2 linked regions of the Canis lupus familiaris genome follow. The protein of the gene in region 1 interacts with the protein of each later gene in a pairwise test. Links are inferred from orthologs where the notes say so. Each region holds a gene or a part of one and is shown in the gene's direction. Other genes may lie near its edges.

Evidence for each region.
Region 2: the proteins of CCDC116 (region 1) and BEX3 interact in binary tests that used the Homo sapiens proteins (3 or more experiments, as listed by UniProt). The two-hybrid records come from large-scale screens. The link is inferred for Canis lupus familiaris from reciprocal best matches to the Homo sapiens genes CCDC116 and BEX3.

The regions. Positions count from the first base shown.
Region 1 is NC_049247.1:31,078,497-31,082,173, forward strand, and holds the end of CCDC116 (coiled-coil domain-containing protein 116), read left to right. Parts: coding exon 1-250; intron 251-363; coding exon 364-957; coding exon of another isoform or gene 958-1,419; exon of another isoform or gene 1,420-1,524; intron 1,525-2,139; coding exon 2,140-2,859; 3' UTR 2,860-3,061; downstream 3,062-3,677.
Region 2 is NC_049260.1:77,302,439-77,306,150, forward strand, and holds BEX3 (protein BEX3), read left to right. Parts: upstream 1-1,179; 5' UTR 1,180-1,532; intron 1,533-1,911; 5' UTR 1,912-1,996; intron 1,997-2,250; 5' UTR 2,251-2,356; coding exon 2,357-2,695; 3' UTR 2,696-2,944; downstream 2,945-3,712. UniProt on the Homo sapiens protein: May be a signaling adapter molecule involved in NGFR/p75NTR-mediated apoptosis induced by NGF. Plays a role in zinc-triggered neuronal death.

The DNA.
Region 1 (3,677 bases):
CCGGCCTAGCCTTAGTACTGTACACCGACACCGTGCCCGACCCAGCCTCTGCACTGGACGTCCCAACAACTACCCATCCTCCTCCAGCTCCATGTCCGACTCCCATAGCAGCTTCACAGCTGGCTGGCTGGGCTCCCACAGCCAGGACAGTGACCTGGGAGCCCGTGGCATGGGCTCACTGCCACCCATGAGGGACAAACTTTTGCTGGAGAAGAACCTCAAACGGCTGCTGAAGCTGGAGAACAGAGGGGTGAGATCTAGGGGCATGGCCCAGGGTGGGCAGGATGGACCCCAGCCCAGGGCCAGGCTTAGGCCTGGCTTGGCTGCTCTTGGATGCACCTGAAAGTCCCCCTTTCTCCGCAGAAAGGCATAGGTCGGTCCTGCTTCCAGACAGACTCCCTGCTGTGGGACTCACTGGGCAGCCAGGCCAGCAGCCAGCGGACCCAGGAGCCACCTCTGTCCTGGTTCTCAGGCCTGCTGGGCTCAAGCACTGGCACAGCCCAAACATCAGAGCTAGGGCCTGTAGAACGGGAACTGACTTTCCTCAAGCGAGAGCATTGTAAGGAGATCAAGTCCTTGTTGAACCAGCCAGCATCCTTTGACCTGCCTGGCTACTGTTCATTCCGTGAGCCCCATCGGACCCTGGACTTCCTGGCTGAGCACCACCTCTTCCCTGCCTTGCAGAGTGTGGTCCGCCAGGCCGTGGACAAGCTCAGTGGAGCCCGACGTCACGATGGCTGCCCTCTCTTCCCTTCAGAATGGGAGCCTGCAACAGAACCCAATTCTGACTCAGTGCAAGACTCCAAGCCAGAACCCAATTCTGACTCAGTGCAAGACTCCAAGCCAGCCACACCCACTGATGGGGAGGAGACTTACAATGTGCTTCCCATCAGAGTCTCCAGCTCCAAGATGATTCGAAGAAAGAGCACCAAGGGCAGAGGACAGGCCAAATCCAAGGAAGGTGGATCCCCTCTGTCTAGTGCCCAGGTGGCCAACAGATTAAGGGTTGAGGTGACACCCACAGAAGAACCCAAGGTTCCCTCACCCCATCCCAGTCAGGAAGCTCCTGGCAAGGACCCTAAACTACAGAGACCACCCATACCTTCTTCTGGGCCCCCAAACTCCAGCCAGAAGGCCAATCCCTGGCAGAGCCTATACCACCCTCTGCCTATCCCAGGGATCGTGGTGGAAGGGCCCTCCAGCCAGACCCAGTCCACAATCCAGGACATACCTCCTCTCACCTCCCCCTACCCTGGCTTCTCCCACCACCTTCCTTTGTTTTCACCACTTCCCTCCTCAGTGGTTAGAGGCATCTCCCCATCTGCTGTTTCACTGCGTCCAGAGATGACCTTAAGGGTGGAGCTAGGTGGGTTAGGGAAGGGTTTGCGTGGGAAGGGCTCCTTCAGCTACCACCCTTAGCAGCCACTGTCATGGCTATCTTGACCTGCACAGTGGAAACCACCTGGCCTAGTTACTGCCAGGTGTTGTCAAAGATTGAATAAAGCCTACGTTTCATTCTGAGTATTTTTTGTAATGTTTGCATGTGAATCTCAGAGGCCCTTCTATGTGGGCAGTGTCTTGTTCCTTGTGGACAGCAGCCTAAGTCAGAATGGGGCTCTGCATCCTAGGTCCAGCTCCCTCTGCTTCTACTACCTAGGACAGGACTCTTCAGCATGTCTGCTGAGAGGGAATTGCTCAGGAAGGGTATGGAGAAGACCTAGGTGGCTTCACCCTGGTAGTTCCCCAGCACAGTCCCTGCCTGACCCTTGTCTCACCTATGAAGACCCAGGCAGGCTTCCCTCCTCTGAACCTTGACCCAGGGGAGAACCTACCAGAGCCCAGGTTATCCAGGCTCCAGTTTGGCTAACATCCTGACTGACATCACCAGCCTTGCCACAGGCCTGACTGGTGTGGCTGGTGTGCGGCCCATGTGGTAAGTGTGAGGGTGTGGCTGACATGCAGGACCTGGGCTCAGCTGTTGATTGAGACAGCATAGCAGATGTGGCAAGGCCATACCCCTAGTGTGACAAGCGTGGCATTTGTGTGGGTGATGTGGAAGGTGCTCTGGGTATGAGGGGCATCCCAAGGCATCGGGAATGGCATGACGTGTCTCCCTTTCCCTCCCTGGCTGTTGCACAGAGCCCTAATTACAGGTTCGTGAAGAAGACACTACCCTCCATCTCATCCAAGTCCACCCTGTCCCACTTCCCCAACCCCGTGTACGAGGAGCTCGTCAGCTACTTAGTGGAGAAGGTTGTGTCCCTGGTCATCTACAAGTACAAGTTCGAGAAGAACCTCTCCAAGCAGCTGGGCTTCATCTCCTTCCCCGTCACCGAGACGCTCATGGACCTCTTCCTGGGCTTCAAGAAGGTGAAGGGCTCCCGCATCTGCCTGTCCTCAAAGATCAACTGGAACTGCCTGCTGCGCAAGCTGGAGGAGGCCGAGTGGGCCCGGCAGCTGTCGCGACAAGCCTCCCAGCATGACTCCGCCTCCCAGCGCAGCTCCCAACGCGGCCCCGCCCACCAGGGGGCGGGGCACAGCAGCACCGAGTCCCCCTCCACGGGGCCGGAGCCCGCCCCCCGCGCCGACCCGGCCGAGGCCGCCGAGCCCAGCCTCGACAGTGAGCTGCCGGACCTTCGGCTGCTCTGGGCTCAGGAGGATGCTGGAGCCGAGGAGCAGGGGCCCACGAGCGTGGGCGCTAATCAGAGCCAGGAATTAGTAGACGGGGACAGTCAGAGCAATGAGGAGGAAGATGAGGACCAGGGTGAGGACTTCCCAGACGAGGGCACGCCCCAGAGCTCTCCCCGAGCCTCAAGTGGAGGCGGACGTCAGCGACTCCACGAACACGAGTCACAGTGACCCTCCGTGAGGCCCCAGCTCCCCAGCACCCAGCGCTTGATTCCCTGCTCCTGCTCTTGCTCCAGTGGAGTGCTACCCCCCACCCCCACCCCCAGCCGGCTCCTGCCCCAAGCCGTCAGGGTGGGCTGAATGTCCACGAGGACCTCTGCTAGCCTGTCGGGGGAGCCAACAGGAGAAATAAAGCTTGTGTTGCTGGAGCAAGATGTTTTTGTCCAGAGTTCAGCTGCACTTCCACAGGCCTGAGCACCCGCCCTGGAGTGACACCTTGGCAGGCCTTCCTCAAAGCTGCCATGCCCTGACCCCCTGACCTCCCATGCTCTGCTTGAACACAAGTCGGCTTGTGGCTCTTCTCTGTTCCAGGGTGCTCCTTCCTGGCTTTTCAAGCCTCTTAGGACTCGTGGTCCCTTTTCCTAACAGCCCCTGAGCAACATCGTTCCTGCTGCCAGAGGACTCCTCCTCTGCCAGGGCAGCAACCTGCTCCCTTTGACATGCCACATCCTCACGTTCCTACGGGGAACCATGCATCCACCCTTTCCTGATGCCCCCAGAACTACCCGTCATTGTAATTTGTATTTCCCGGCTCCAATTCCTCAGTCTGGAGGGTCCAAGTAGGTCCCTAGGAGGCTGCCCCAGGCTGACCATGTGACTACCCTTTCAGCAGTGCCCCTGGGCCAGACAGCTCTCTGGAAGGCTCTGCAGACTTCGCTGGGGCCATGATTGGCAGGTCTCCTCTCCAAGTTTCTCCTGGGGCTTCTGGGCATCCTGTGCAGCCAGCTGAGCACCCTCCCTCTCTCCGCCTTTCCAGGGCAGCCATTCTG
Region 2 (3,712 bases), on another chromosome or scaffold:
AAATTTACTTGGCTGAATTTTGTTTTTTAACAAGCTATACCTCAAAATATCTTCAAAGCATAAAAAGCTCAAACTATGTATGCACTAGGCATATATTCTTCATTTATTCAATGTCCCAGCTAATTTAGCAGGGTAGGAGATTACACAGGAGTTTGGAACCCAAACCAGAGGCAGTAAGCATTTGTCTGGCCTGTCTTGCTTCAGTGCATATAACTCTTCTGGTTCCTTTATCACAACCAACGCTTACTAAATTTTTTTTTATTATGAATGCCGCTTTCCTAAAGACATCTGTTTTCTAACTATGATAAAATCTGTTTAGTTACTTTAAAGTGGAGACAGGAACATTTACACTCCAGGTGAATTTCAGTCTCAAGTTTAGTTGCTTCATATACACCCTGTTTATTTCTATTATTTTTTGAAACATTTACATCAAAAGGCAGATGGCTTTGGAACTAACGTCTGCATATGGTATACTTGTGATCATTCTACGAAGATATTTGTTAGGGGAGGTTTTTGAAAGTTTGTAAAGGAAAGCAGGGTGTAAAAAGGCTCCTTTTCTTCAAAGACTATGGTATCAAAAACATCGCAAATTTACATTAAAAGGCCAATATCTGACAACTGGACTTCTCCCTAAAGATTTACTTTACAGATCATTTTGAAAATACCAACTATGTTCATAAAGATGCCTCTTTTTTTTCAAAATAGAAATTTGAAACAAGATATGTGTTTCAAAAGCGATATTAATGTCATGTGGAACTCAGAGAAGATATTTTGTGTGATACGAGCATAATTTTTAAAAATGAGGCTTTTTCATCCCGCAAGATGAAGCATTTCTTTCAAAAGTGAAATCTCGCAATTTTTAATTTTTTGAGGCATGCTGGTTTTTTTTAAAAAAGGAAATGAAAGAGAAATTCTTTGGAAGAATTCACTCTGTCTCCTTGCCTCTCTAATAGGACTCCTGCTCCCTTCCCACCCCAGCCTTCATTCTAAATTTCCTGGAAGGATCTGAATTCAGGGGACGCAATGGGCAACGGTGGTGGCGCACCTGAGGGTGGATGAGGGAAAGAGGGGGTGCGGCCAGCGAGAAAGGAAGAGAAAGCGAAACAACTCAAACTCAAGGCCTGGGGCGGGAGTGGGAGGGATGAAGGGTATTGCAGACCCTCCCGGGTAACCTGAGAAGTTACCTTCCTGAGAAGTTTACACTCCCTCCGCTGGGAGGTGAGGCGTTTTTCGGGCCTCAAATTGTAGAGGACCAAGCTGAGTGACACGGCGGTGCGCGCTGGGGCTCAGTGCAGAAACCGGCTAAGGGGGTTGCCTACGCCTGTGCGTGAGGCGAGGCGTGGGGGCGGGTAGGCGCGCCGCACAAGCAGCTAGATTTGGGGGGCGAGCTCCATGGTGACGTGAGGCGCTCACGTGACGTGGAGCTGCAGAGCGACGCAGCCTTCGGTGCAGTCGTCACTCCCGTCTGGGTACCTGCTCCCCGGTGTCCTGCGCCCCGCGGGCTGGCGTCAGGCCCGAGGAAAGCGGAGCAGGTAAGGGCTCCGGGGCCGGTGCGCGAGGCCAGGGCGGCAGCGGTCCGCCTACTTTCGAAGCTGGCTCATTGGATCAGCGCAGCAGCTTTCTCCACCCCCGGCATTCTTGGGAACATCCGTAGTGGCCCCCTGGGGTGGGGGTGCTGGGGCGGCTGGGTGGGCAGCAGAGCAACTAAGAGCAACTGGAAATCACCCCCGAGTACCTGCAGGAAAATAGTGAACCTTCCGGGCGGGGTGGGGGGACGCTAGGGTTGAGAGCCGGAGATGGGGTTTAAGGGGGCGGCCAGGGGGGCCCGGGACCCGGAAGGAACCAGGTGGTGGCAGGTCGGCGCCAAACGCTTCGCAACACCCCCCCTCCCTCCACGCTGGCCCTTTGCAGGACTGCGAGCCTAGGTGTCAACTGTCGCAGCGACGCCCACACGGCGAGAATCGGGAGAAGGAGGAGACAGCAAGGATAGGCCCAGGTCGGTGCGGGGGACAGAGTGGGGGTCGGGTGCAGAGCCGAGTTTGTGACTCCTCCCATGTACGTCATCCCCTGTCCCCCACCTCCATTTTGGTGCCTGCGGAGCTTGGGGAAAGAATCCTGGGAAAGGAAAAATGGTGGGCTTTGGGGGAGGGAGGGTAAAGGAGAGAGCGGGAGGGAGGGGCTCGATTCGGAGGCCCCCTAGAGGACGCCTGAAGCTCCTAAGGTGGGAATTTTTTTTTTTTTAAACGTTAGGTACCAGATCTCTGGAGCCTGCTGCTCAGTACACCAAGCTTTCAGTCTCTCTCCTTGCCTTTGTCTTATTTGTGTTCAAAGAAAACCAACCAGGAAAAAAAATCTCATGGCAAATATCCACCAGGAAAACGAAGAAATGGAGCAACCCATGCAGAATGGAGAGGAAGACCGCCCTTTGGGAGGGGGAGAAGGCCACCAACCTGCAGGAAATAATAGACGGGGACAGGCTCGTCGACTTGCTCCTAATTTCCGATGGGCCATCCCCAATAGGCAGGTCAATGATGGGATGGGTGGAGATGGGGATGATATGGAAATGTTCATGGAGGAGATGAGGGAAATCAGGAGAAAACTTAGGGAGCTGCAGTTGAGGAATTGCCTGCGTATCCTGATGGGGGAGCTCTCTAATCACCATGATCATCATGATGAATTTTGCCTTATGCCTTGACTCCTGCCATTTTCCATGAGATTAATACTGTGACTCACATTGTTTTTTTTTTTCCTTGCCTTTTCCTGATAACCTTTACTGATCCATTTGCTGTGAACCGCATGTAATTTCCATGTGTCAGGTGGGTTCTGTATTACCAGATTCCAAATGGGGATTGCCTTGGCACTCAGTCTAAGTTTCTGTCAACAGTAGAGTCACCCAATTGCATGGAAAAGTGTAAAGTTAATAAAGCAATTAAAAAGCAATCTATACATTTATTATTGTCTCATTTAAAAGCATATGTATAATATGACCCCCCCTCAAAAAATCAGAAATCAGATGCTCCAGGGTGTTAATTGGGTCACGTTTCTCTGTAGTTGAATACTATGTAACTTTTTTCTTTTTATTATCTGAAGTTTTAGTAGCAAAAACAGTTTTTCAAGGAGTGTAAATATAGTATAGGTATATAATACTGGTTCAACAAACTTTAAGAGTCAACTTTAAGAATTTTCCAGTTTTAACTGGATGAATAAACCCTCCGTTTGTTACAGGTACATTGCTTTTAAGAGTCAATCTTCTTTCCTGTGAGGAGGAATAATGCTTGCCTTCCAGGGCAGCTGAGTGGAATAGATGAGGTGTGAAACTGTTGGGCTGCCTCCTATCCAGGTCTGTCAGGTACTTGGGAAGGACTAAAGGGAGTTTTCACCATGCTGACAAGCCCAAAGGGCAAAAATAGATGGCTTCCACCTTGTCATTCCTCTGATATTTGCAGTACTTCTCCCCTGATTATTGCCGTGTCAGGTGTACTTTCCCTTCTGGGTTCTGATTCTGTCCTCAAGGTAAGAAAAGTGCATTGATTTCTCTTGAGTCCCTAGTGAGCTAAACCCTGTCCGGTTTGACTCCTGTAGAAGTCTGGAGCAGATCTTTCTCCCCACTTTAAAGTTATATTTATCCAAGTGAGTACCATTCACATGGTTCTTTGTCTTTTGTTGGTTCCTAACAAAATAGCCCTTTTTGGTATTATTTTTGTGCCCCTCT